Cricetulus griseus: one gene and its partners. The protein of the gene in region 7 purifies or fractionates together with the protein of the main gene of each other region. This does not show direct contact. Links are inferred from orthologs where the notes say so. Each region holds a gene or a part of one and is shown on either strand. Other genes may lie near its edges.

Region 1 (3,625 bases), about 380 Mb from region 7:
TCTAATTCCAGCACTAGGAATGAGAAGGGGTGAGAATTCAAGACCAGGATAAGCTCGGAGTGAATTCCAGGTCAGCATTGGCTACAGAATAACACCTTGTTGTCGTTAAAAAAAATAAATTAAAATCTAATTAGATCAGCTTATCACAGTTGTGACAGTGCATGCTTATAATTCCACAATTCCTAGGGTAGCTGAGGAAGGAGAATCATGAGGGCTTCTTGGGTTGCTTAAGTATGTCTCAAAAAAAACAAAACAAATACCATAAAAAAAAAAAAAAAAAAAAGAAGTGTGTTTCCTTGTGGTAAAATGTCAATTGCTGGATGCAGAACAACTGGTGGAATTAGTGCTGGGATAGGTTGAGTGCGTGACTAGTACTCATGAGGCCCTGGGTTTAATCCTCAGCACCACTAAGGAAAAAGGTGGGGTGGGGCCAAGAGAATTAAAAAATCACAAAATAGTCATTTCATAACCATAAAAAAAACCCAAAAAACAAAAAACAAAACAAAAGTTATTCATATGAGAATCAGGGCTGAGGATAACAGCTCAGTAGCACATTTAATTATCTAGCATGTGAGAGGCTCCAGGTTAAAGATATGGGGGGTAGCCTGGTGTGGCAGTGCATGTCTTTAATCCTAGCACTAAGGGGGCAGATCTCTATGAGCTCTAGAAAAGCTAGAGCTAAAGTGAGAACCTGGTTCATAGAATAAAAATTAAAAAAAACTAAAAAAGAAGAAGAGGAAGAAGAGGAGGAAGAGGAACAAGAAGAAGAAGAAGAAGAAGAAGAAGAAGAAGAAGAAGAAGAAGAAGAAGAAGAAGAAGAAGAAGAAGAAGAAGAAAGTACATAATAAAATCTATGCTTCTGAGCCATAAGGTACATACCTTTAATCCCAGCACTCAGGAGGCAGAAGCAGGTGGATCTCTAAGTGCGAGGCCAGCCTGGACTATAGAGTGAGTTCCAGAACAGCCAGGACTACACAGAGAAACCCTGTCTTGAAATCCCTCCTTTCCCCCAATCGATACTTCTAGCCTAGAAGAAGCTTGAAAAACTGGTTCACCAAAGACTGGAAAATTTTTCAATTATTTTCTAATAGCCTTTGTTTTGTTTTGTTTGAGACACGGTCTCATTATGTGGTCCTGGCTGTCCTGGGTCTCTCTATGCAGACAAGGCCAGCCTTAACTTACAGACTCATCAGCCTGCCTCCCTAGTGCTGGGAGATTAATAGTGTGCGTCATAATGCCCAGCTGTAAACAGTCTTTATATAATGAAATTTTAGGATATCTGAGCAACAACAAATCTCTACACAAGTCTCACCTATAAATAAACCATTTTTGAAACATTGGCCTAGAAAGACTTTATGTTTAAGGGAAAACAATATTAAAGACTCTCTGTCTATCTCTTTAGGGTCTTGTTAAAATTACTCTGTTCAAAAGTTTTAAGAACCAACTTCTAAAAATTTAAATTGAGGTATTTTCCTTTCCTTTTACGCAACCAGTTTTTAAAAATTAATTTCATTTAGTGCGTTTGGAAAACTCTGTCTAAATATGGTCCTAGGAAAAGTATTCAATAGACAGTCACTATCTGCTAGGAAAGGATAAATCCAACGAAAAGCTATACTTTTAAGTCTAGATAAGAAATACATTCAAGAATTATAGCAAAATCTATGACTGAAGGAAATAACTGCCTATTCCACAGGCATTTTATATCTACTCATTAAAAACAAAACAAAAAAAAAAAGAGGAGAATATCAATTAAAAAGATCTGTACCGTGAGAAACAGAACTCTAATTGTTTTTTCAGACATTCTTTTAAATCTTCTGTAGAAATTGTTGAACTGCTTTCTCCTAATGGCAGAAAACAAGAGGGAGAAACTGTTAAAAGTTGTCACAGGTGAAACTTACACATTATATTCAGAAGTCACAAAGCAGCCACAAATTAAAATGTACCAGAACTATTTAAATCAAGTCTAATTTCTTCCAACTCATGCTTTTCTCAGCAGCACTTCATCTTGACTGAAGAATTCTCTTATTGATCTGGGGCTGAACTCCAAAATACAGTGATAGAGTATTCATCTAGCATATGTGTGGCAACAGATTTAAGTATTGTCACATACATAGTTCATACTTACGAGGGCTGGTAAATGCTCAGTCAGTAAAGTGCTGTCACACACAAACACAAAGCCAAGTTCGCATCTCACATACACACACACACCACCAAGAAATAACAAAGGACCATTAATACTAAAAGCATTTGACTACTATGTTGTTAAACATTGCCCTAATCTCACCGTAAAAATGAGAGAAGCAGGCTGATCTCTGAGTTTGAGGCCAGCCTGGTCTACAAAGTGAGTTCCCAGACAGTCAGGCTATACAGAGAAACCCTGTTTCAAAAACAAAAAAGTGAAAACCACCCAATTCTTCAATGGCAACATAAAACAAGAAACCCCAAACATAACTAATGGTGATCTAAATTTAAAGATAAGAACTAAAGTGGGATATATGGTGTTTATGTAACTGTTTTACCAACAACAGATCTAGTGTTGAATCACTCTCTTTAACTTCTCTTTTTATACATTTTTTTTCTTCGTCTTCATTCCTCGTTTTTTGCATGTTCCGTTGGTTGGTTTTGATTTTTTGAGAGAGTATATAATGTAGACTAAACAAACTTCAAACTCACTATGTGGGCAAGCATGACCTCGAACTCCTGACTCTTCTGCCTCTACTACCAAGTGCTGAGATTAAACTGCATAGGGTAGATCTTACTATGCAGCCCACACTGTCCTTAACATAAGCCACAGCTGCCCATCTTAATATATCTTCTTTTCTTAAAATTAATCTCTGAAACACAACACTTATTTCAAAATAAATTTCATGCTGACAAAAGTGGCAGAAAAATTGATAAAACTGCAATGATCTCAACTAATCAACCAAGAAACGCACAACTTTTTGCAATTTGGATTTCTCTTAACTACTTTTCCCTGATATCTTTAACAGGACTTCAAAAAGATTCTTCCTCTACAAATTTTATGTCTGGGTACTATTCAACAGCATTTTTAATAATCATCTAATAGTTGCTTATCATAAGCTTCTTTTCAAAAAAGAAAACAAACTGATCAGTGTCATGTTTATTGAGACAATAGAGGGAGAGCTAAGGATACTAAAGTTTCATGCTAGCAATTAAAAAATAAAAGTTACCAGAAACATCGTATATTTGGTAACTCAGATCTTCAGGTCCTAAAATCATTCCATCAGCTGACTCTTCAATGTCTGAAGTATTCCTTGTGGTCTCACAAGTTGGAGAATACATTACTTCATATTCCTTGCACATATCTTCTGAAAGTTCTGTGTTACCTGTTTTGAAGAAAGGATATTGAAAGTAAACAGGAAGTATTTAAACCCACCTGCAGGAACTCAAGTCATGTCCTCTAAAAAAAGGTTTCACAGAACTGTACCAAGTTGGAAAAAATGTCACCATGGCTTAAGTTAAGAGTTATTTCTGAAGGGAGACAAGTTTTGACCATTATGGATAAGTTAGCATTTTATATTTTCAACTGCTCATATAATTCCTTTGCTTCCTTTCCTGGACACATTATCACTACATTATTTCTATTCTTTAGATTAAGGAAGTT
Region 2 (3,625 bases), on a different chromosome or scaffold from region 7:
AGAGACATGGGATAAGTCTTCAAACCCACTTCTAGACTAGACTTAAGTGAAAAGGGTACCAATACACACAGCATTTGCCATGGAGTCAAGTGTGCAATATCCAGGAATACCAGATTTTCCAGACCAAGATACAAGTGAATGACTATGAAAGCATACCAGAGGGGTTTTGACAACAAAAAGAAAACCAGTTAGCTCAAGTTCTGAAGCTGTCTCTCAGTTTTCTGACCATCTGGGGTTTTCAGTGTCTTCTTTCCTCTTAGAAAAATTACTAGAAACTCACCATTTTTCCTCTTTTCCTTGGACTTGTTCTTTAGTTTCTTCTTGGCAACAGTCACGTTGATCTTGCAACCTTCAAAAGTAGTGATCTCCTTGAGCGCCCTCTGAACATCTTCCAGCATGGAGAAAGTGACGTAGCCAAAGCCTCGGCATGCTTTGCTCCCTAGAACAAGGCAAGAAGGATGGAAATGAGAGCAAAGGCCTGTGAGCAATCAATCAAAGACACAAGTCTCAAAAGGAAAAGAAACAAGGCTGGGATCCTTCCCCACTTTACTCGGGACTATAAGGCTTCCTTTCTCTTCCAATTTAATATCTTACTGCCTCTTCTTATTCTGGTCTTTTTTTTTTTTAGTTTTAAAAGATTTTATTATTTATTTATTATGTATACAGTCTTCTGCCTGCATGCCAGCAGAAGGCACCAGATCTTATCCAAGGTGGTTGTGAGCCACCATGTGGTTGCTGGGAATTGAACTCAGGACCTCTGGAAGAACAGTCAGTGCTCTTAACCATTGAGCCATCTCTCCAGCCCCAGCCTTGATAATCTTAAGAATATGGGGGCCCATGATATACATTAGGCCTTGAAGAATTCAATTTTAAACTATGAAAGATTACCAAATACATATGGTAGATTTGAAAAATCAGATTATAATAATGCAATCTTAGAAGATAATAGCAATAAATGAGTAAGGTCCTATAAAACCATTATGTCATTAAGACCTTAGCATTTCAGTATCTAATTAAATACTTCCAAAGAAGGTATAAACTCCTGGCCTCATTTTTAGTTTCAGGACACTCCAAGCTAGGTAACATGAATACCACCCCTTCTTTCCAAAGAGTAATTTGAGAAGTGAATGTCAAAACTAAGCTAAGGGGCTGGAGAGAAGGCTCAGTGGTTAAGAGGACTGACTGCTCTTCCAAAGACTGGTGTTCAATTCCGGGTACCCACATGGTGGCTCACAACCATCTGTAACTCTAGTCCCAGGGGATGCAACAACCTCCACCGGCACCAGGACTCCAGGCATACACATGATGCAAAGGCACACATACAGGCAAAACACCCAGGCACATAAAATTAAGAAATAATTTTAGGGGCTGGGAAGAGATGGCTCAGTGGTTAAGAGCACTGACTGCTCTTCCAGAGGTCCTGAGTTCAAGTCCCAGCCACGACAAGGTGGCTCACAACCATCTATAAAGAGCTATGGTGCCCTCTTCTGGCCTGCAGGCATACATACAAGCAGAACACTATACAGAGTAAATAAATCTTAAAAAAAAAAAAAAGAAAAAGAAAAAGAATGTTAAAAAAAGAACTATGTTAATTCCTCCTTGCCAACCTCATGGTCTTTCTTTCTTTTTTTTTTTTTCTTTTTTTGGTTTTTTAAGACAGGGTTTCTCTTTGTCACAGCCCTGGCTGTCCTGGAACTCACTTTGTAGACCAGGCTTAGCCTCCAACTCATTGATAGCCACCTGCCTCTGTCTCCTGAGTGCTGGGATTAAAGGCCACCACTGCCCTGCCTCATGGTCTTTCATGAGATGCCACACAGAAGAGTATCAGGACCAAAAAGATGTATAATTACTCATCATGGCCTTTTTGGGAGGAGGGTGTTAATAGTAAAATGGTAATTAATTTCTTGCACAAGAAAAAGGGGGGGGCAAAAACCAACCAAACAAACAAAAAAACCAATGTCGATGTCTGCCCATGACTTGCATAAGAAACAACTCTGTGTTCTGTTTTATCTCCTCCAGAGCACATACGATATAACACAGGACAATAATCTATATAAAGTGGCTGCACAGCTGGCATGGGGCACCGGGACAGCAAACTGTGACATGGAAATTGATTTCTTTTCTCTTGGAACTTCTCTCACAAAAGCCTATAACTCACAAAATAAGAACAAAAAAAAAAAACAAAACAAGACCCTCCTCTCAATCAGTACAACCAAAAACAAAGCGACTCAAATGTGAAGTTCAGACCAGTGGTGGGGGCGCACACCTTTAATCCCAGCACTCGGGAGGCAGAGGCAGGCAGATCTTTATGAGTTCTAGGCCAGCTTGGTCTATACAGCAAATTCCAGGACAGCCAGGGCTACACAGAGAAACCCTATCTCGAAAAACAAACAAAATACAAAGGGGGGGGGGGGGGATTAATGTACCAAGAGGTATATACAATAATTATGTCTCCACAAACAACTGTCACACACATTCAGAATCTTCACAATCGTAAGAATGGTCACGCCAGCACCATTAGGAAAAACGCCACCTCACCTCCATGCCCACCCCTCTAACCCCACTGGAGTGCCACACTTGTTTCCAGTACACCTCACTTGTCCCTACAGGGAAGTCCATACTTTTTCTTAAACGGGGCATGAGAGATTGTTAAGAATTTAGACCAAGTACACCAGGCTTAAGGTAAGGTCCACAAAACTACTATTACATGAAGATGGACTCAGCACTTTTCTAAGGCTTTGGTAACTTCTCAAATTCAACATGCTAGGCAATGGTGGATAAGGGTGGTCTTTGGCACCACTTGTAAAACGGTATTAATGTCCATCACACTTCCAGCGGCAATACCGTCCCCAGCTGTGGTGGTGGGTTATGGGTGAAGCAGAATCTTGAATGCACCTGAACTCTGTCTCCCTGAAACTTGGCAATGGCAGCAGGAAAAAGGAAGTCCATGTTTCTTTCTTATTGTTTTTGTTTTTTTGAGACAGGGTCTTATATAACCCAAGTTGGCCTCGACTTCCTGATCCTCCTGCCTCTACATACCAGGTGCTGGGATTATACCACATACCACCACTCCTGGCTCAACAACAACATAAAAAATAACATTTATTTATTTGTGTTCAAAGGGAAGGGAACAACTTGGCACGAATTGGTTCTTTCTGATTCTGATAGGCTTGGTGGAAAGTGCTTTTAACTTTCTAAGACATCCTGCCAAGCCTCCCCCAACAGGAATGTTTCTTTCCCTCCTTTATGTTTATTTCATGTACACTGGTGGTTTTGACTGCATGTATGTCTGGAACTGGAGTGACAGACAGTTGTGAGCCGCCAGGTGGGTGCAGGGATTTAACTCGGGTCCTCTGGAAGAGCAGCCATCTCTACAGGGTTTCTCTGTGGCTTTGGAGGCTGTCCTGGAACTCACAGAATAGACAGCTTTGGAGGCTGTCCTCTTGTAGACCAGGCTGGCCTCGAACTCACAGAGATCCACCTGCCTCTGCCTCCCTAGTGCTGGGACTAAAGGCATGCGCCACCAACGCCAGGCCTGATAAATGTTTCTTAAACTGCAGATTACCCAGCAGTGACTGACCAGAATTTAAAAAAATAAATAAAAGTACATTCATATATGGTAAAG
Region 3 (3,625 bases), about 170 Mb from region 7:
TGCCAAAATAATTTAATGGGAGGGTGATCTTTTTGGAAAATGATAATAGAACAACTGTATAGATAAGAAAAAATTATCTGTATGATAAAAATTAATTCAAAATAGTATCACATACCTCTATGTAAGAGCTCTAATTTTTGGATTATGAAAAAATTTCTCAGTACACAAAAAGTACAAGTCATTAAGTGGAAAAAAAACACTGAAGAAATAGATCCAATCAAAACTAAAAACAGAAGGGCATGGTAACATATGACTTTAACCGTAACACTTGCAGTCTGATCTCTGTGACATCAAGAACAGCCTGGTATGCATAGCAAATTGAAGGTCACCCAGGACTAGAGTGAGAACCTCTCTCAAAGCAAACCAAAAAAAGCTATAAAGAGCTGTTTTTCAGAGGAAGGTTAAAAAAACATACTGTAGGTTAGGGAAGAAATCTGCAAAACATGTTAAAAACAATTGCTCTAAATATATATATATATATATTATATATATATATAATATATATATAAAGTTCTTATAACTTAATTTTAAAAAGATATCCAATAAAGAACAGCATAAAATAAATAAAATCTGAAAACATAATTCACCAAAAACTATACACAGAATGGTATGTGAGCACAAGAAAAGACGTTGAACATCAACAGATACTTGGGAGATGGAAATTAAAACAAGGAACTATCATTATATAATCCACTAGAATGACTAAGTTATAAAATGAAAAGTTTTGTCAATATGGAACAAAACAAATTCTTATAGATTGTTAAAATGGGAACTAGTTCAGCCAATTTGAAAAGCAGTGGGGAGGTTATTTTTAAAGCTAAACAAGCATTTATGATACGACCCACAATCCCACTCCTAGGATCCAACACCAAATACAAAACATCTGCATACAAAGGCTCCATTCACATGTTATAGCACTTTTAGTACAAATACAAAGTAGAATAACCCAAATGTCCACATCAACTGGTAAATGTGTAAACAAACTATGGCATATCCATACAATGGAATACTACTCAGAGAAAAACATAGTTGTTAAATTTAACAGCATAAGTGAATTTCAAAGCAATTCATTAAGTAAAATAAACTAGACACAAAAACAGCACTATTCCACTTATAAGATGTTTAGGAAAAATAAGCAGTGCTTACTGGGGTGCTTACCAAAGGTAATAAAAATGTTCTGTATATGACTATGGTACAATTACAATTATATACACTTGACAAAATTCACCTAAGTTGTTCAGTTTAAGCTGATAATTTTTCTATTACATATATTTCTTTGTGTGTGTGAGGAGGGGTATGTTCACGACACAGTATACTCATATGGAAGTAGGAAGACAACCTGCAGGACTCCATTCTCTACTTCTACCATCTGAGTCCCAAGAGTCAAACTCAGGTCATAGGGATTGGTGGAAAGCACTTTTACTCACTGAGCAATCTCAGTGGCCCATAAACTAGTAAGTTTTTTGAACAAAGTATACCTAACAAAGGGGTTTAAAGTAACCCCCCAATAAAATGTAAGAATAAAAATGTACTCTCTTCTTATTTAGCAAGTGTTCAGCAGACATTGTTCACCAAACACAAGTAACTCTCAATCAAATACTTCCTTATTCATGTACTAGTAACACAAGTAAAAGTAAACACTTTCTATATGTGTGAAACCACTCACATTTTTAAGGCAGTTTTCAATTCTATATCAAAGATTTCTATCTTTCATATTTTTTTAATTTTTATGTGTTTAAAATACTCATTGAGCTATAGAAAACACTTGAAAGAATTATAAAACAAAATTATCAAGGCAGTATTTTTGTTCTAACCAAAAAATTCTACAGAAATAAAGAAGAAAAAAAATGAGCTGCATGGCTATCTGCCATCAATAAAGAATCACATTTAAAATACAATAAGTGGTAGTAATTAGAACACAGGCCACAGCTACAAAAGTACAAGTTTTATAATTGTGTAAAACTACGTACATGAAATGTGCTGTGAACCCAGCTCCTTACTATAGATTGTGGATGCCCTACCTTCCCTGAGGACGGAGGAGAGGGACTAGCACAAGGACTTGGGTAACTGCTGCTGTCTGTAGATTTCACAGATGATTGATCTGATCGGTCATCAGTGCTCCGCTTAGGATGTAAAATTCCTCTGTCTTTGTACTTCTGAGGTGGATGTAAGGCTGGAGATGGAGATTTCATCAGTACTCTTGAGCAAGAAGAAGCACAAGTCAGTTATACATGAGTTTATAATACAAAGGGAATGCTATTTCATAACAAAATCTCAATGACATATAATTTATGGAATACTTTTAAGGGAATTTCATTTTTCTATTTACATTAGTAAGAAAGAAAGAATGAACTAGAATGGGTAGGAGTGTAACTTAGTGATATAAAACTTACCTAGTATGCTTGAAGCCCTGGGTTTGATCCCCAGCACAACAATGAATAAATAAGTAATATGTAAGTAAATACACATATAAGAAACAATAGAGAGGTGGAAGATGGCTCAACTCAGTGAAATGCTTACTGGTTCAAATGTAAAATGCCCCCATATGCTCTTCTGTCTGAATACCGATAACCAATCCTGTTCAGGAAGGTTATGAATACTTGAACAGCTGAGCCTTACTGGAAGAAGTAAACCACTGAAGGCAAGCTCTCGCTACACTTCTTGTTCTTTGAGGAAATATGACCAGCTCACTTCCTGCTCCTACATCCATGCCTGCTATGCCTTTCCTCCCTGTTACCATGTCTTCCCCACCATGATGGACTCTATCCATCATGGAAATGTAAGTCAAAGTAAATCCCTTCTCTCTAAGTTTTCCTTGTCAAGTATTTTATCACTGCAACATAAAAGAAACTAATCTACCATGCAATCACGAGGATCTGATCTCAATACCCAGTACCAATAGAAAAGCTGGTTCTGTAATCTTAGAACTAGGGTGCCAAAGAAAGGCAAATCCCTGGATCTCATTCCCCAGCCAGGCAAATTAGTGAGGTCTAAGTTCATTGAGAGACCTTGTCTCAAAAGTGAAGGTGGAAAGCTACTAAAGAAGACACCTAATATCAATTTCTGACACTGGCACACACATATGTATTTGTGTGTATGCAACACACACATACACACCACACACACACACACACACACACACACACACACACACACACACCCCATATAAGACAACAATAACAAACAACCTCAGACTATAGGATACATTTTAAAAAAGAGGTAAAACCACATTTTGAAAAATCAGAAATAGTATTGCATAAAATAGACTTAAAAATAATAGTATGATGACACGGAAAGAATACTGCACTAGAGAGAGGAGACTGAAATCTATATATTAGAATAACACTAAATGAACATATAACTCTGTGCATGACACTGAACTTTAATTTATTTGTTAAAGTTATCTTAATGAACTCTAAGATTGTTCTAAAATTCTATAAATATCATGAACATATCATTTAAGCTTTTTAATTTTTTAAAAAAATGTACAGTATGTACTCTGTGGTACAATCAGACAGTATATTCTGGTTTCAGTATAAGGTTTCCAATACCATCTAAAAATAATCTTGCTAAAACAAGGCATATACCTTCAAACCTTGAAAGCTAGCCACTAATTTACACAGAA
Region 4 (4,114 bases), on a different chromosome or scaffold from region 7:
AAAAAACCGTGGGGCCCGAGATTAGACCACAAGCTAGGTATTTATGACACAAAAGCAGGAAAAAAAAAATCTAAGCAAGAGAACTGGCAATTAAGGCAGCTAGGAAAACACACCTATGAAGACGCCATCAAGCAACTCATTATTTGGTCAGCTTACTCAAAAACGTTTTTTTTGTTGTTTGTTTTTTGTTTTTTTTTTTAAGTGAAACCAGTCACGGTGACTCACTCAAATCTGTAGTATCAGTATTTGGGAAGCTGAGTCAGGAGGGAGACCAACCTAGGTGACACAGTTCCAGGCCAGCCTAGGCTAAAGAAAAAGACCCTATCTCAAAATAAACACACAGGGAGCTACAGTTAACCTATCAATCAGCCAGCCCCAAATGCCTACAGCCTTAGCCCAAATGGAATATTTGACTAAAAATTAATAAGAAAAGTAAGATATTTCAACTCTTTCTCTCCATGGAGGAAAACAAACGTGGATTCAGGGGGCTTTCTTCCCTGCCTCGTCCTCGAATTTGATGCCAATCTGCCAGTGAATTGGCTCAGGGATTTTCTAAACAATATACTAGAAACAAACATCAAACCATGAGTGTGAGAAAACGGGAGTGAGCCACCGACTTCACGTCAGAAGAATCCTTTTAAAAAGGTAACTTCCTCGCATTAGAATTTCAATTTTTCCAACTTAAGGCTCCTCCCCAAATAACATGTTAAAAAGTGGACCCCGCTGCGGCGGTGTGGACAATCCCACTCTAAATCATGCGGGATTTCGAAAGCCTTGTTTGTCCTCTGCCCTCCTCCCAGAGACAGGAATACCAAGCACTGCCATCGCACATGGGTACAGGTAGAGCTAGACGAGACTACCCAACCCATCAAGGGTGGTCCAAGCCTCCACGAGCTTCCAGTGAATAGCATAATATTAGTATTAATAGGTGGTGATGGTCCGGTATCCAAGTTGGAAATAAAAATCAAGAGTCCAAAGGGATAATCAGGTCGGAGGGCAGCAGCACAGCCCTCAGCTTCCGCACACCCCCAGGTTCGAGCTGCGGGGTCGCTGCCCAAGTGGAGTGAGTACCTGTGGATGGGCAGGGTAGCGCCCAGGGCCCCGCGAGATGGAAGACGGGGCCAAGCATGGTTAAAGCGCCAAGAGACCCAACTGCGGTGGTCCCAATCTGGCTTCCAGCTCTCTCAGGGGCCCCCACGAGGCCACATGGTCATTGCACGTGGGTACTCACCAACCAGAGCAGGCTTTACGCATAGCATGAAAAACAACTGTAGAAGCAAACTTAGGGACTCAACACCGGGGTTCCTTAGTTCTAAAAAAAAAGCCACAAGCTTTTTAACCAACAACCAGACAGACACTCCGGTGAACGCCAACCCGTGCAAATGCCAACCTAACCCAAGTCCTCCGGCCCAGCACACACACGTGAGAAGCAAGTCCACACCTCAACCATCCCTCCCCACCCCGGAGAGCCCTCTCAGCACGTTGGGCGGCCTCTGGCGGACTCATACAAAAGGAATCCACGACTCCACAAACATATTTATCTCCTCCAAACTCGTGCTCAACTGGACACACCAACTACATTTTATCACACAGGAGAAAATATATATATTAATGAAGCTGGGCTGGCGAGATGGCTTACTGCTCAAGAGGCACTTGCCTCAAAACCCGAAAGACCCGACTTCGATCCCCGGGTCCCACAAGATAAGGGGAAAAGAGACCCGATTCCTGAAAGTTATCCTCTGACTTCCACACACGAGCGCAAATAAATGCAAAAATTAAGTAAGAAAATAAAAGTGAAATCCAGGGGCTTGGAGTCCAATTCCATGGGTAGACTTGCCCAGCAAAAAGCCCTGGGTTCGATCAGCCCTAACCCCCCCCCAAAAAAAATGAGAAACAAAAAGGCAAGGAATCTAATGTTTTGGGACTCCTCGGACATGCCCAGGGAAGGAAGATGTCGCAGGGACGTGGTTCTTTCTCCGAGGGACGTCGGGAGGGAGGGAGGAAGGGAGGTAGGGGGACGATACAAGTCTGCCAAAGGGTCCGCTCCGCTCGCCCGCGTCCCACGCGCACTCACCTCTTCGTCGTGGTGCTGGCAGAAGCCGAGCCGCTCTGGGAACACCGAAAGGATGGAGAAGGGCGCGCCGGCGAAGGGCGGCCCGAGCCCCAGCTGCTGCGCCGCGGAGGCGGCCGCGGGCCCCGGCGGGCCGCGCTCGATGTAATGGTCCTTCGTGAGACGCACGCGCTGGTGCGCGCGGACACAGTTGTCGCACAGGTGTTCCTGGCAGTCGAGGCAGCGCGACGAGGCGGCGTTGCCCTCGTCGCACGAGCTGCAGCCGTGCTGCCGGCGCAGCAGAAGCGCGGCGGGGTTGGCGGCCGGGCCGGGCGGCGGCTGCGGGGCCGGAGCGGCGGCGCGCTGGGGCGGGTGGTGTGCGTGGTGCCGGTGGTTGCTGTGGCCGCCCGCGCCCCCGGGGCCGCCGCCCGCGCGCCCGTTCTTGGGCGGCGGCTCGTCGGCGGTAGCCACCACGGCGTCCAGCAGGTTGCTGAGCAGGAAGGCGGACGACGGCAGCGCGTCCATGCCCGCCGCCTCGGCCAGGACCACCTTCTGGTCGCACACGGGACAGCGCAGCTTGAGCGCCTCGGTGGGGCCGGCGCCGCCGGGAGCGGGCAGCCGGTGCGCCTCGAGGCACGGCCGGCAGAAGGCGTGCAGGCAGGGCAGGACGTGCAGGCGCCGCGCCGCCGCCCCGGGACCGCCGCCTCCCGCGGACGACGTGGACGTCTGCGACGACGACGACGAGGCGGACGAACTGGAGGAGAGCGGCGCGGGCGAGCCGCACATCTCCTTGCACAGCAGGCAGATCTGGAAGTCGGTCTCGGGGAACGAAGCCATTTGCAGGAGGGAAGAGGGCGTGCGGCGAGGAGGAGGGCGCGCGGCTCACTCAGCAGAGCGCATCGAGGGCGCGGTGGAGGCGACCCCCGGGCCACCTCGGCACGGCAGGCATGCACCGCCACTCGGCAGCAAGCGAGCGCCCGCCCAAGTCCCAAAGTCCGCCGTGGAATCCAGTCCCCTCAGCGCAAAAAAAAAAAAAAAAAAAAAAAAAAGGTCCTGAGGAGTCTTGCGCGTGTTGTTTTTTTTTTTTTTCCCTTTGCCCCGGGCTAAACGGATTGAGTCTCCAGGAGGGAGGGGAAAACGCCCCGAAGTCGCAGCAGCTCGAGTCCCGCGCGCGACGCCGCCCGCCCCGCCGCATGACGCGGCGGCAGGAGCTCCTGCGTGGCGGCCGAGGCGCAGCCTCCCCCGCGCGCGGTCGGCTCGAGCGCGCAGCTGCACCTCGTGCGGGGCCCCCGCCCGCCCGCCCGCCGCGGAAGCACGCGTGCCAAGTACGCACGCGCGCTCCACGCACTGCGCGCCTCTGCGCAGCCCGGCCGGGCCGCGGTCTCCGTGCGCTCACACGCACGCGCGCCCCACGCGGCCCTCCCGGCGCCCGCGTGTCCCCGGGCCTCCTCCTCGCTCTCTCTAGCGCGCGCTCCGACCCTGCTCCGGCCTCAGGCGCTCCGCGGCGCGGGGCCGCAGGTCCCCGCGGGCCGCCCTGAATTATTCATCGGCGGGAAGATATTGGATGTACCCGCCGCCCGCTCCGCGCGGGGCCGTCGTGCAATGCTATCCGCGTTCCGCGCGCGCCGCGCGCCCCTCCTCCTCACGGCCGTCCTCTCCGAAACCTGGGCAGCGAAGGGGGATCACATTTCCTTTGTCATCGGGCCATTTCACCCTCGCTCGGGTCCCCCCTGCAATCCCGGAGCCTCGGGGACCGAGCCTCCCTCCCGGGCGTGCTGGAATCAGAGGAGCCGGCGAGGGACCCGCGCGGCCACTTCAGGAGCCGCGTGGCCAGCGCCGCCCGCGGCTCCCGCCTGCGTCATCCTCCTGCAAACGAGTCGCCGAGCGGGGACGCGGGTGGCCCCGGCTGCGCTGCGCCTACCGGGCTCTGGCTTTCCCGGTGCCCTGATCTCCCGGGTTGCTTTGGGGATTTATTTTTGCACCACTCCCCTGAACGGGGGGCAGCGTGCGCGCGCGTGTTCCCTTCTTTCTCCGCTTTGCCGCCTCTCGGTACGCCGGTTATTG
Region 5 (3,625 bases), on a different chromosome or scaffold from region 7:
TCACTTATAAGTATTTTAAAATATGCTCTTGAATAATCTTTTATAAGCAGAACAAGGTTGTTTTTTCTTACCTCAAATGCATTCACAACTGTCAGGTGATCACTTCTGGTTTCCTTTGCCAACTCCTTTCTTCTTGCATCTGCAATCTTTTCTTTTCCCTAAAAGTAAATAAATAAATAAATAAAACAGTTGTAGCTTAAGTGTTTCTGACATAATAATGATGATGTCAGATGATGAAATTATAATGAAAAATACATGTCAGCAGTAAACAATCTTAGCATTAAAACTCCCAGCCTCTTTTCTGTCTTTCTTACCAGTGGAATGACAAAGGGATCTTTAAAGCTGAGACTGGCAGCAATAGTGAGTACTGGATCTAAGCAACAGAATAAAGCTCCAAACAGAATCATTTTTCCAATATGTGGCTCAACAGGTAATCTGGCTAAATGGACGCCAAGAGGTGTCAATTCTTCTTGTTTATCCAAAGCACTCTGAAAAGGAAGAAACTGCTTTTACAGTAGGCCTAGCAAAGCACTCCATCAAAAGCTACTGTAACTAGCTATAAAACATACAGGTCACTATTATTCTCTTAAGTCCCAAATGCCCCAAGCATTGTTTTAGATGCCTTCAACAAAATAAATAAATAAACAAATAAATCCTTATGTCAGCAAAGGCTAGTGACTTATTCAAACCAACAAAATTAATCACAACTTGGAAATGTTATATAAGAAATACAGAAAAAAAAAATCACTGTGGTAAAGCAGTTATAAAAAGGCAAAAAGTGGGTGAAATGCACAGTCCCTAGAGTCTAGTTTAGGTGCTATGATGCAAAAAGAGATAAGGGGCATACATAAAAATGACTTCTCTTCCAATTCTCTGGGTAATCTGGTTCAAATGAGAGCAGCTAGGAAAGTATCCTGAGGACACCAAGGAAATATAAAGGCATGGTTGGATCATTTACAGTGCTATTTTAAGCAGTTTACTATTTAAAAGCCTGTATCAGTGCTACAAAATCCGAATTCTTAAAGAATTATCTACATGGATAGCTCCCAAACCTGTGACATGTCTTTGGCACCCTCCAACCCAGCATAAACCAACATGATTTTGTAGATTAAAAAAATGCTCTTTCTCTATGTGGTCCAGTACAGTACAGAGAGATGTTGTAAAACATATGTGAGTATCACTAAGGTTATGAATTTCTAGTTGACTCATGATTGAAATTACCACATACAGCTGCAAACAGTAGTGTTCAACACTTTTCTCATCTCCTGTACTACTCTGGGAATTAATTCATGGCCAGTCCTGTACCCCTCAACATGGCCCCATGGAGGAATGACTACAACTACAGTCACTTTCTCAGAGCATAAAAATGAAATAACAAAACCAGAAAATCTTGTTTATGGAAATAAGTTATAATGGTGAATGACAGTTCAAGAATTGTTATAGCATCACACAGACAAGACACTTGTTCATATATATTTTGAAACATAAGGACTGCCTCTATCAAAAGTCCACACTATCATTAAAATACCTGAATTTGACAAGAGAGCATTATGGTAATCAGAAAGAGTAGAATAAGCCAACCCAGTTCAATACATATGAAGATCACTAAAAAAATTTTTCAAGATTTATGTAATTTAAATCAATCTTGCAATGAACAAAACTCAAGACTTGTATCTTAAAAACACAAGAAAAGCATCACATCAAATCTGACAGTGCTCTACTCTGGAGTAAGCTTCTAAGTAGCCAGTGTACATACTGTAACATGCTAAATACAAATACAAAAATAAAAATTACCAGTTCCATTAGGTGTTTTATGGAGAGCATTACGGCCTCATTTGATGGTGGATCCATTAACCTACTCAGAAAATAAGCAATTCCACCTAGCCTTAAAATCTGTGAAGACAAATAGTTAAAGATGTATCAAAAAAAATGTAAAAACATGTACTCAAAAGCTTATATAACATTTTCTAAGAGGAAATTAACTAGTGAGAAAAGTGATCAGATTAAAAAAGTTTCAACAAGTTGATTACTGATTACCATAGAAATAGGGTTAGTTGAGCATATATATATATAAACACACACACACACACACACACACACACACACACACACACACACACTATCTAACATTTGAAGATATAGTAACAGCTAGCCAGGACAGGCAGGACAGGACTATAATACCAGATACTCAGCAGGCTGAAGTAGCATGATCAACAATTCAATGTCAGCTTGAGCCAATTAAGACCATCTCAAGGTGTTAAAAAAAAAAAAGGAGAGGGGGAGGGTGGGCACGCCACACTTTGAGAATGCAGTTAGTTCAGTGGTAGAGAGCTTCTCTACCATAAAACCTCTGACTCACAAAAATTAAGTAACAGTAGCTAACATTTATTGACTATTATATGTCCAACATTGGTTTAAGAATTTTATACAGAAATTTTACATCAAGTTAAAAAATCTGCTCAATGAAGCAGAACAAAGTTTCTAGGTAGAAAATGAGAATCAAAGACAGGTCCCCTGATCCTAACATTGACAACTGTTCGATATACATCAGAAGGAAGTTCAAGGAGTTTGTTTCTTCACGCCAGCAAAATGAAGTTCATAAAAATAATCCCTATTTGTAGGGTCATACTATACTTTCTTCTATTAAAATGTTGAAAACTGTAATACCACCCTCCATTTAGGTTGTTAATTCTTCCAATTAATATACCTTTATTTGCAAACAAAGTTCTTCCAAAGGAGTTCTCAAAATTTCTGGTAGTTGGTAGTCATCCAGAAGACTTGCTCTAAGGCCATTATACAGATGATAACAATGACCAGGCTGAACTCTTAAAAAGAAAAAAGCATTAACAAGAACATGACTGTTAGAATGCCAAAGAAAGAACAGGAAGAGAAAGCATCCAGCATCAATTTCTCACAGCCTGTTACACACATAATTATTATTTCATGCTGCAAAACCCTATTTCCTTCCTGTCTTTGGAAAGACCCTAAACCCATGTCCAAATTTTACTTTGTTTTTGCTGTTCTGATTTCTTTCCTTTGTTAAACATTATTTTTCTTTCAATATATTAATATATACAGTACAATATATTTGAATATATATGTGCATTAATTAGATCAGTCCATTTGCATTTGTTATATAAGCCTTCAAGCACCCCTCTTAGTCCTTGTAAAGTATGTAATATATTACTCTGAAGTATGCTTGTCCTTCTGTACTACAGAATGCTAGAACTCATCTTGTGCTCCAGTTTCAGAAAGCAATGAAAGACATTTCCATCCACAATTTGGTTCCTATTTCCACAATTCCTCTGACCTCGCTCAAGTTGCAGCAGTCTACTCTGGTCAGGTTTAGAGCTGTAACACTAAATATACCTTGTAAGCAAACTTTATAACAAACCCTGCACTATGTTAGCCTGCATTTATTAAAGAACGTATTTAAATGTATTCTATTTAGTGAGCTCTCAGACATCGGAAACTCTTTTATGTTTGTGATTTCGTGCCACAACTGACTTGACAGAATTCATATATTTCTAAACAGAATAATATTTCAAGAGGCTCTCGCCACTGTAGAATAAAAGTTCTAAAACTTTCAGGGTTTTTGTTGTTTTTTTGCCTACGTCTACAAAGA
Region 6 (4,417 bases), about 14 Mb from region 7:
TTTCTGGTATTTCTTGATGGCATTCATCATATGTGCTTTCTCCCGTTGCCTCTTCTGAAGGACCTCAGTCTGCACCTGTGAGACAGACACAAGGTCAGTCATGCATCTCAAAACACGACTCCTGCTGCTACCTGCTGATATACTGGGTGCACCATGGTGCCCCATGGTGTCAAGTGAACCTGCACTCAGGGATTATGGTGGACACACTTCACCAGTAAGACTCACAGGACCAAACACACACACACCGGGCAAGAACCAAATCACACCACAGCAATCAGACCTGACATTCCTGGCCTTGTCCTATTCCATGCAGGTGTTCTTTCTTACCTTCTTTCCATACTTCCTAAGCGCTCGAAGTTGCTTGGCCTTTTCAGATTTCTCCATGGCAGCCTGTTTAGTCTGCAGCTTCTGTCGAATCTAAAACACAGGATGTTGTCAGGTATTATACAGAGTACACTAGACCAGGGCACCAGGATTCCATTAGCTCTGAAAGCCATGGATCTTGTGTACTTTCCTAGTTTTCCACATACAGACAATGCGGCCCCAAAGCTGAGCCCTTTATCCAGGAACCAACTGTCAGTGTGCAGATCTTAAAAGCAGCCCTGCCTCCTCAAGCACGCTTGTTCTCTTATATAAAGCTGCCTGTTTGTCACACAAGACCTGTTTTCTCCCAAGCCCATTTACAGATCAAGGCTAAACTTCAGTGCCCTCTTTAAGGGGTCACTGCACACTGATCCCTTGCCTCTCCCATCAAACACAAACATTTTACTGAAAGCATAAGTAGTCATCAGTGTTACTGTCAGGTTAATCTGGGCTTATCTCCAGGTTAGTTTCTTGGGGTACCACCTAGAATTCTCTAAGATGAAGACTGAAGCCAAGGGAACAATTTAAATACATCCTGGATTCCGAGTCAAGAAGTTTTTTTCCTCCCAAAGTTAAATGAGGATCAAGTCCCCCAACCCTAAATTACACTGTATCTGAGCCATCTATCAACCCCTCACTTTCTAGAAAACAGAGGCCCAGAGAAGAAAAACCTTTCTATAAGCAATAGTATTCTCGTTGGGCCCAGAACTACAAAACTGTTGTGTCTATACACCATGCCACTAACCCTGCCAAGAAGGGAATACAAGCCTTCTTTATCACAGGGACCACACCTCTTCCAGCTCTTCTCTCCGTTTTACCAAGTGACTGGCGTGCCTCTGAAGCAGAGACTCTCCATTAGAAATACTGATTACAGGGGCTAGAGAGATGGGTCAGTGGTTAAGAGCACTGGCTATTCTTCCAGAGGCCCTACATTCAATTCCCAGCCTCTACATGGCAGCTCACAACTGTTTGTAAACCCAATTACAGGATATCTTGACACCCTCACACCACTACACATAAAAAAATAAAGTAAAATAAATTACCAAAAAAAAAAAAAAATACTGATTACAGCCAACATAAATCCTTTTTAAAAACCACCAGCTGAATACTTCAGGGTGAAGCCCTGGCTTTCCAGAGAAAAAACTTGCCTGTCTCTTACCTTTTGCATCTGCTGGTCAGACTTGGCCATTTCTGCAAAATAATCTGTGGGTCGCTTGGTGGGGACTTGGAGCTGATGGAGCCGGGGTAATACTGCAAGCACTGCAGCCTGGGCCTGGCGGTAGCTGAAATTTCAGGACGGAGTTAAATGAGGGGTGAAGAAAGGCCTTCATTTCTTACTGCCTCTCAGGACTTAACTAGACTCAGGACTATCAATATCCCTCTGGCACTAGCAAGACAAAACAAAAACTGCAATAAAACTCCACTAATTTCATATAACAGAAATCTCATTTTACACTTATTTTTAAGGGGAAAATACTTCTAAGAATAAATCAACAGCTTAAAACAATAAGCTTATTAAAGGTACCATTAACATACAAAGTATGACCTCTTTCCCAATCATTACAAAGTCCCCTCGAAGCCTTCCCTAGGCAGTCTGCTCTGACTGGATGCACCCACACAAACTTTAAATAGCCCTTAGGCAGGGCACAGGTTAAATGATGACCAAGGAGCTATTCTTTCAAGCAGGAGGCACCCAAGGTTCGCGCTAACTCCTCGGTGTCTCTGAGGGGGGCAGGCATACTATACTCCCCTTCCCATGATTCTCTATCACAGGACTCATAACAAAACATACAAACTCATTTCCCTCTGGAAGTCGTCTTCTGGATTAACACCTTTCTTCTGGTCCTTGTTCTGGGGGGTTGGCTGAGTTTCACTGACTTCTGGCACTGGACCCAGGGTCACATCGAGCCTTTCAACCCACTCCAGATCCCGTCTGAATTCAGCCAAACACTGTTTCAGGCCATTCTAGGTAAGTCAGACACGGTGCTCATGAGAACCCAGAGTTTATCTCTCTCAAGCCCAAAGTGCTAAGCTCAAATACCAGTACAGCTCAAGGCACAGGGGGCATTTTTCTCGCAACAGTAGGTCTCCCAAGTAGCAGGGCGCCTATGCACACCCCATTCCAAGGACCCCAACCCGCGAGCGAGCTCACCACGTCATTCACCGCCTTCTTCGGCCTCTCTAGCACAACGTTGAGGCCTGGCTTCAGGAGTCCTCGGGAAAATGCATCCTGCAACTACAGACCCGGGGGCGTCAGTACCAGAGAGCTGGAGTTCCCGTTCCACGCCCTGTCCCGCGAGCCCCGCAGCCGCCTACCTCCCGGTCTGAGACCAGGGACTCTTCCGACTCCGCGTCCGAGTCTGAGAGCGGAGGGGTGTCCATCTCGCGATCTCCCGCCCCGCGGGGCGCGACAGCCACTCCACGTGCCCTGAAGACGAACCCGCGCCGGCAGCTTCTCCACAAGCCTCTGGCTTTTCGATCCGGACTTCCGCTTCCGGGTGCAGAGCCGCACTTCCGGTTTCTCGTTGCTATAGGAACCGCTCCGGTGTTTGGGCGTGCTTAGGTTGCTCGGGATATTTAGGAGGAGTACCTGCGGATCCCCGCTTGGTTTCGTAACCCAGGGTCGTGAAGCAAGAGGTGAGAGGTTTCTCTGAGGTCCTCTGAAGAGCCTGGGGTCGTTGAGGGAACAAGAGAGAAAGGCAAAGCGCGGAAGGAGCTGTGGGCGGGGGGAGGGGGGACAAGAGGAGGAGCCTGGGGGAGGGGCGACGAGGAGAGGAGTCTGGGGGGGGGGCAATGAAGGGGTGAGTTGTGGTTAGGGAGGGGCGGGCCAAAAGCGGATCCAGGACTGGGCGGGGCGGGGCCATGGGCGGGGCGGGGCCATGGGCGGGGGCGGGAGATGCAGTTCTTTCTCACCAGCCGCTGCTTTATCTTCAGCAGCACTTTCTGACAGGTACCATGTCCACCGTCGTAGCTCAGGCGCTGCATGTTTTTGGTCTTCGGTCGTACGTGGCCAACAATGTCTTCTTCTTCGATGAACAGATCATTATATTTCCTTCAGGAAATCACTGTGTGAAGTACAATGTGGATCAGAAATGGCAAAAATTCATTCCAGGTAAAAAGAAAGGGGGAAAAAAAAAACCTTCCCATCCTGTCACATATGTGAAAGGCTGTGCTACACAGAACCATGCAGTCTCAACGATTAGGAAGGTCTTTCTTGACAACTGGATATACATGTAGTTTTATAAATGTCAATTTGCACTGCTTAATTCTTAATTATAGACTAACCTGACACATGTAGTCAAAATGACTTGCATATTAACACTAATTTTAAATAATTTTAAAAAGTATTTTTTCACTGTGACTTCATAAAAGAGTTACTTTAAACAGTGTTTTTCTTGTATTGTCCTGCAGTGAGTTTGTCCTCACCAGAACCTTTTTTTTTTTTTTTTTTTTTTTTTTTGAGTAACAGTTTCAAGAATCCTTGTATGGTGGAGACACTGACAATTTTAACCCAAGTCACAAATAATCTTCCTTAAAACCTGACCCCTGTTTTTGTTTACATTAGTCCAGCCAATGATATTCATGACGCTTCCCCTACTTTTTTATCCCTTCACATGCAAATATAAAAGACCACAATACATATATGTAATCATTAATGAATTATTACTGTTAGTATTCAAGCATCTATCTGTACTGGCCTGTTCTTGGGGGCTCTGACAGGGTATGCCCTCAGTTGCAACCACTAAGAGCACCAACTGTACACATTCACTGTGTTCCCTTTTAAAAGGGCCCTGCCCACCTCCCATTCTCCTCTCTTTCTTTTCTCTCCCTCTCTCTGTCTGCCCTCCCACCCCCCATCTCTTTCCTCTCCCTCCCACTGCTCCTGTCCCTGGAGGCAGGTCTCCCCCCTCTACTTACCCTTTTTTATGATCCCTTTCCCTAATAAAAAAAAATCCCTCCACTTGGACTCTGTCGCATGGCATCTTTCTCTTGAGCGCCGCTTTTTAAAATTACAACTATTACACGAAGACCTGTGCACCCAGACACCCAGGAT
Region 7 (4,376 bases):
TAACACACCAACTACAGTGTGGGGAGAGTGGTGGTTAGGGAGGCAACTTCTTCAAATATGGGTGCCAATGGGCCTTTAATCCCAAATCCAGGCAGAGTTAGGCAGATCTCCAGTTAGAGGCGCCAGTCTGGTCTACAGAGCAAACTCCAGGCCAGCCGAAGTTAGACAGTGAGATTCTGTCTCAAAAACAGAAAGAAAACAGGAAACCAACACATAAAAACTTCAATTTTGGGCTGGTGGACATAGATCTCCAAGTTGGTCAGTATTGAGATTGTTGCTTTCCTCCAGTGGCGTCCTATAGCTTTCCAATTGCTATGGATCCTAAGGTTAAGTCTGAGGCACAGCCCTCCAATTTGTTCTACTACCAAGGAACCCCAGAGCAGAGGGTACATGCTCCTTAGTGTCTCCCTCCTTAGCCTTTGGAAGAAGTCAAGAAGGCTCTATACCTACTTTATATCCCAGCCTCCCAAAATTGGGAAGGCTGTCCAGCCCATCTCCAGACCAGGAAAGATTTTAATCTCTGTGATCAGATAAATGGGAGAGTGGGGGAAGCAGGAGAGCCATTCAAAGCTGGTTCCTGTAATAAAGTGACTTAATAGATCCAAAGGGGTCAATTCCCTTCTCACTCACAATTACTTCCTGTGGGTTATCGTTCACATATGTAAATGAGAAGGGGGCACAAAGCCACCATGCAGAAACCAGCAATCTGGTGGTAGTGATGGGGGGGGGGTCAAGAAAGTAGCTAAGGGTACTGCTGCTGCGGGTCTCTTAAACACACGTTCCAGAAGCCAATGACACCAACAGCAAAGAGCTGCTCCCAAAATTCCTTCAAACCAAATCTACCTAGTTGCCCTTGCTCAACCCCCTGACTGGAGGGTAGGGCTCAGTCTTCACATTAGTCTCTAGCCTCCAACCAGTCGATCCAGCATCTCCTTCCCTACCCCTCCCCCTCAAGAACGCCATCCCTGAGGCTCCAACTCTTAATCCCCACATCCTCCTTTCCCCTCCCCCACAGCTCCTAAAGCTAACCTCCCTGAAGTAACCCCTCCCTGCCCGGACCGGGTGTCAAGCTCCAGGGCCAGGGATTAGCAATTTCTTCTTTCCTGGTCCTGCCTTAACCACCAAATCTGGAAGGGGGAGCAGCAGTCACCTCCTTCCCACCGAGGCATGGGGACCATTTGAACGTCCATAGGATGTTGAGAGGGTAAGGCGAATAACAGTGAAACCTGAAGGCTCCCTTCCTTGTTTAGGGTTAGGAATGTTAGGGACAGCAATCAATGGCTGTCTGGGGCCATAAATGCCAAGCTGAGGAGAATAGGGCAAGAGGCCAGCCTCCTTCCACCGCCTGCCCCCTCGACACTGAATTTCACTCCCCACTGCGCAGCCCTTCTTTAACTGAGAACTTGGGATTGCACCGACCCAAGTCTCCTAGACTGGCCCATCCAGGAATGAAGGCCTGGGCTCTTACGGTTTTCCTTCCTGGCAGGACCTGGTGGGCAGCAGAGGTGCCTGCCAGTCCTGAACTGAAATCCAGCCCTCTAGGGGGGCTTTTCAGCCCACACATTGATCCTTCCGGGATCTGCCGAATCTATACTGGCCACGGGACCTGGCTTTTTGGGTGGCCACCGGACTGAGGTCTGCACTCAATCAGGGGGAACAGCCTGACCTCGCAGGTTCATGCCCGTGGGTAGGGTGGCAAATGACCCACCTCTCCTGCCCTGGAAACTACATTCAGAACTCAAGGCGCTAGCGCCCGGCTCAGGCCCTGCATGTGCTTCCCTGATCAGCCTGCTCGCCCTCCCCCACCGGCAAGCACAATACAACCTTAGTTTCTGCCACATGGGGTCACCTCCCTGCCCCCTGCTCCCTTCCCAGGGGAAAGAGGTAATAGACACGTGGTAAGCCGGAGGGGTTCCCGGAAGGGGGCGGGGAGGGGGTGCTGGTAACCAGTGGTGCCTCCTCCTTGCTCCACCGTAGTTACTCAAACTCAAAATTGGGGTGTCCCAGCAGATAGGGACGCACAATGAGGGTCCTTTATCTCCTCCAATCCAACAGGAGCGGCCATCAGCCAAGCACATATATGTAACTCCCAGTTTTCCTTTTTCCTAGCTAAGTTACCGGAATCATTCTCACCTGGTGCACAAAGACGTCCACCGGGGGGTCGAGCGCGACCCCGGCGCGGGCGGTCATGGACAGGAAGCCGAACCCCATGCGCACGTTGAACCACTTACAGATGCCGGCCCCGTGCAGCAGCTGCGGCTCCTCTGCGGCTCGGGCCGCGTCAGTCGGCGCCTCCTCGGGCGCCTTCTCAGCTGCCTTGGCGCAGCCACCTGGAGACAGGGAGGGCCAGGTGATCAGCTGGGGGCCAGGCAATCACAGGGCCCTCTCCGGTACCCGTCTGGGAGACCTCGGTGTTGAGCCCGCGGATAGACACCCAGGAGGAGGCAGCTACCAAACAGCTGGTAAGAAGAAACCTGCCCTGGCTGCCGCCCCAAGCTCACACCGAGGATGCTGATGCCCCGAAAGTTTTGCTTGTCTTCCCACAACATGTTGCCGGTGCACACGCGGCGGGACAGGCCCCTCCTCTTCGCTCCCTCCGCCCCCGCGGGCTTGGCGCACAAGCCACTGGAACACCAGGGTTCCCTGTCCCACAGATGGCCCCAAGGAGCAGGAGGCCGCAGGGACTTGGGGTCCCGCGGGCAAGTCCGTGGGACACTTTCCCACCTCCCTTCTAATTAGCTCGTGGGCGCCCTGCACCCTAAGGTGTGCCCGCTAAATCGTAAGCTCGAACCTGCAAACTGCTGGTTGGACACCGAGCCCATGGTCGTCGGCTGAGCCCGTGGCCCCGGGCCCCAGGTCGGGCGGCTGCTGGCCCCAGAGAAGTCCGGAGGCAAAGGGGTGGTTCGGAGAAGAGGCTGCTACATCTTCCCCCGCACAATAGCGGTGGGAGGGCCCACGGCTTTTCAAAGGCTCCCAAATTCTAAAAGACAATGACCCAACCCCCCGCGGGCAGCCCCCTCCCCTCCCCTCCCCTCCCTCCCTACCCCTCCCTTTCCCTCCGGCTCTGGCTCCCGCCCTCCCCCACCGCTCTGGTCTCTGACACCTCTGGGGTGTCCCTTCCCAGAACCTTGAGATTTGACACCCCCTCCACATGCACACATCTGGAAACGGGGGTCTTTTGCCCTAGAAGTCTTGAGTACCCCCAGAATTTGGGATCCTGCACTTTGAGGACTCAATATGGGTACCCAATGCAGACACAGGTGGGGGACCTGAGAGGGGGGTAGTTTTGTAACCACGTGACTACACACACACACACACACACACACACACGCACAAGCACACACACGCACAAGCACACACACACACACACACACACACACACACACACGCGCGCGCGCGCACACACACACACACACACGCACCCCACCCCCACCCCCCGGGCAGATAATTATACATTCCAGAGAGTTGGGGGAGGGAGGTGTGAGCCTGGTGGCGCTGTCCAATCAGAAACACAAACCACCTGTCAAGGGAGAAATGGATGAGCCCTCCCCCTCCCCCAGCCCCTCAGCGCCCCTCCCCCCTTCCCCCTCAGGCCTCTGAGCTGACCCGGCAGCTTGTCGCTGACCTGCTCTCACCCCCCACTCCCGTGTGCTTAGATAGACCTGGAGTTCTGGACACTAGGAAGTCAGGATAGGGGTGCAGCGAAGCGGCTGGAGACCCCACAGAGCACATCTGTCTTGACCTAGGCGCTGCCCCTCAAACTCCGGCTGCCTCTGACTACAACTAGATGCCTCCATCTCCAAGTCTCAACCTCAGTTTCGCTGGGTTTGTCCCAATCAGAAACAAGCTCCTAGTTGATTCTGTGCTAAGAATCCTTTGCTTCCTTCCAAGCCTGCATCTAAGTTGGTCCCAGGTAGAGAGCTTCCTGGGAGAGCAAGGGGGACCCTGGAAGAGTGCCCTCTGTGATAGCTAGCGGCCTTTCATCCTGTCCGCCGCGTCCCGTCCTGTCCCACCCCTTGCTGGCAGAGGGCAACAGATTTGTGGGTGGAGGCACTTCCTGCAGTACCCGGGACCCTCTGGTTCCCAGACCCTCCTGTTCTCAGTCACCATCCTAAATTGCGCTACCCTCCCGTAGTGTGGCTGGTGGAAGGACTGGATAGGGAGGTTTCTCATTTGAAGAGGTAAACTCCCTACTAGAAGATAAAGAGGGTGGACCGGGGGTGGCCGCTGCCCTGGTCAGAGATGGACAATGGCCCGGGGCTCAGTGCACAGCCCTGGCCCTGCCCCTTCACTTCCGGTGCTCAGTTCAAACTGGACAATGCCAGCTCCGGTCAGTTCCCCTCCCCCATGACTACAACCCATTTAAAGGGACAGAG

Evidence for each region.
Region 1: the proteins of Lin28a (region 7) and Larp4 purify together in Homo sapiens (affinity purification with mass spectrometry; 3 studies listed by BioGRID and IntAct, with this or other methods). This does not show direct contact. The link is inferred for Cricetulus griseus from reciprocal best matches to the Homo sapiens genes LIN28A and LARP4.
Region 2: the proteins of Lin28a (region 7) and Rbm28 purify together in Homo sapiens (affinity purification with mass spectrometry; 3 studies listed by BioGRID and IntAct, with this or other methods). This does not show direct contact. The link is inferred for Cricetulus griseus from reciprocal best matches to the Homo sapiens genes LIN28A and RBM28.
Region 3: the proteins of Lin28a (region 7) and Ythdc2 purify together in Homo sapiens (co-immunoprecipitation; 3 studies listed by BioGRID and IntAct, with this or other methods). This does not show direct contact. The link is inferred for Cricetulus griseus from reciprocal best matches to the Homo sapiens genes LIN28A and YTHDC2.
Region 4: the proteins of Lin28a (region 7) and Trim71 purify together in Homo sapiens (affinity purification with mass spectrometry; 3 studies listed by BioGRID and IntAct, with this or other methods). This does not show direct contact. The link is inferred for Cricetulus griseus from reciprocal best matches to the Homo sapiens genes LIN28A and TRIM71.
Region 5: the proteins of Lin28a (region 7) and Dhx36 purify together in Homo sapiens (affinity purification with mass spectrometry; 3 studies listed by BioGRID and IntAct, with this or other methods). This does not show direct contact. The link is inferred for Cricetulus griseus from reciprocal best matches to the Homo sapiens genes LIN28A and DHX36.
Region 6: the proteins of Lin28a (region 7) and Ebna1bp2 purify together in Homo sapiens (affinity purification with mass spectrometry; 3 studies listed by BioGRID and IntAct, with this or other methods). This does not show direct contact. The link is inferred for Cricetulus griseus from reciprocal best matches to the Homo sapiens genes LIN28A and EBNA1BP2.

The regions. Positions count from the first base shown.
Region 1 is NC_048595.1:396,447,074-396,450,698, reverse strand, and holds part of Larp4 (la-related protein 4), read right to left. Parts: intron 3,348-3,625; coding exon 3,192-3,347; intron 1,842-3,191; coding exon 1,766-1,841; intron 1-1,765. UniProt on the Homo sapiens protein: RNA binding protein that binds to the poly-A tract of mRNA molecules. Associates with the 40S ribosomal subunit and with polysomes. Plays a role in the regulation of mRNA translation.
Region 2 is NW_023276806.1:198,657,955-198,661,579, reverse strand, and holds part of Rbm28 (RNA-binding protein 28), read right to left. Parts: intron 440-3,625; coding exon 281-439; intron 1-280. UniProt on the Homo sapiens protein: Nucleolar component of the spliceosomal ribonucleoprotein complexes.
Region 3 is NC_048595.1:192,996,896-193,000,520, forward strand, and holds part of Ythdc2 (3'-5' RNA helicase YTHDC2), read right to left. Parts: intron 2,200-3,625; coding exon 2,022-2,199; intron 1-2,021. UniProt on the Homo sapiens protein: 3'-5' RNA helicase that plays a key role in the male and female germline by promoting transition from mitotic to meiotic divisions in stem cells.
Region 4 is NC_048597.1:221,619,558-221,623,671, forward strand, and holds the start of Trim71 (E3 ubiquitin-protein ligase TRIM71), read right to left. Parts: upstream 2,888-4,114; coding exon 2,075-2,887; intron 1-2,074.
Region 5 is NW_023276806.1:89,642,345-89,645,969, reverse strand, and holds part of Dhx36 (ATP-dependent DNA/RNA helicase DHX36), read right to left. Parts: intron 2,826-3,625; coding exon 2,708-2,825; intron 1,894-2,707; coding exon 1,795-1,893; intron 489-1,794; coding exon 315-488; intron 159-314; coding exon 72-158; intron 1-71.
Region 6 is NC_048595.1:33,706,550-33,710,966, forward strand, and holds the start of Ebna1bp2 (probable rRNA-processing protein EBP2), read right to left. Parts: upstream 2,817-4,417; 5' UTR 2,746-2,816; coding exon 2,680-2,745; intron 2,600-2,679; coding exon 2,516-2,599; intron 2,329-2,515; coding exon 2,156-2,328; intron 1,647-2,155; coding exon 1,523-1,646; intron 418-1,522; coding exon 328-417; intron 76-327; coding exon 1-75. Other genes in the region: Cfap57 (cilia- and flagella-associated protein 57), read left to right, coding at 3,319-3,475. UniProt on the Homo sapiens protein: Required for the processing of the 27S pre-rRNA.
Region 7 is NC_048595.1:19,275,957-19,280,332, reverse strand, and holds the start of Lin28a (protein lin-28 homolog A), read right to left. Parts: upstream 2,823-4,376; coding exon 2,792-2,822; intron 2,331-2,791; coding exon 2,134-2,330; intron 1-2,133. UniProt on the Homo sapiens protein: RNA-binding protein that inhibits processing of pre-let-7 miRNAs and regulates translation of mRNAs that control developmental timing, pluripotency and metabolism.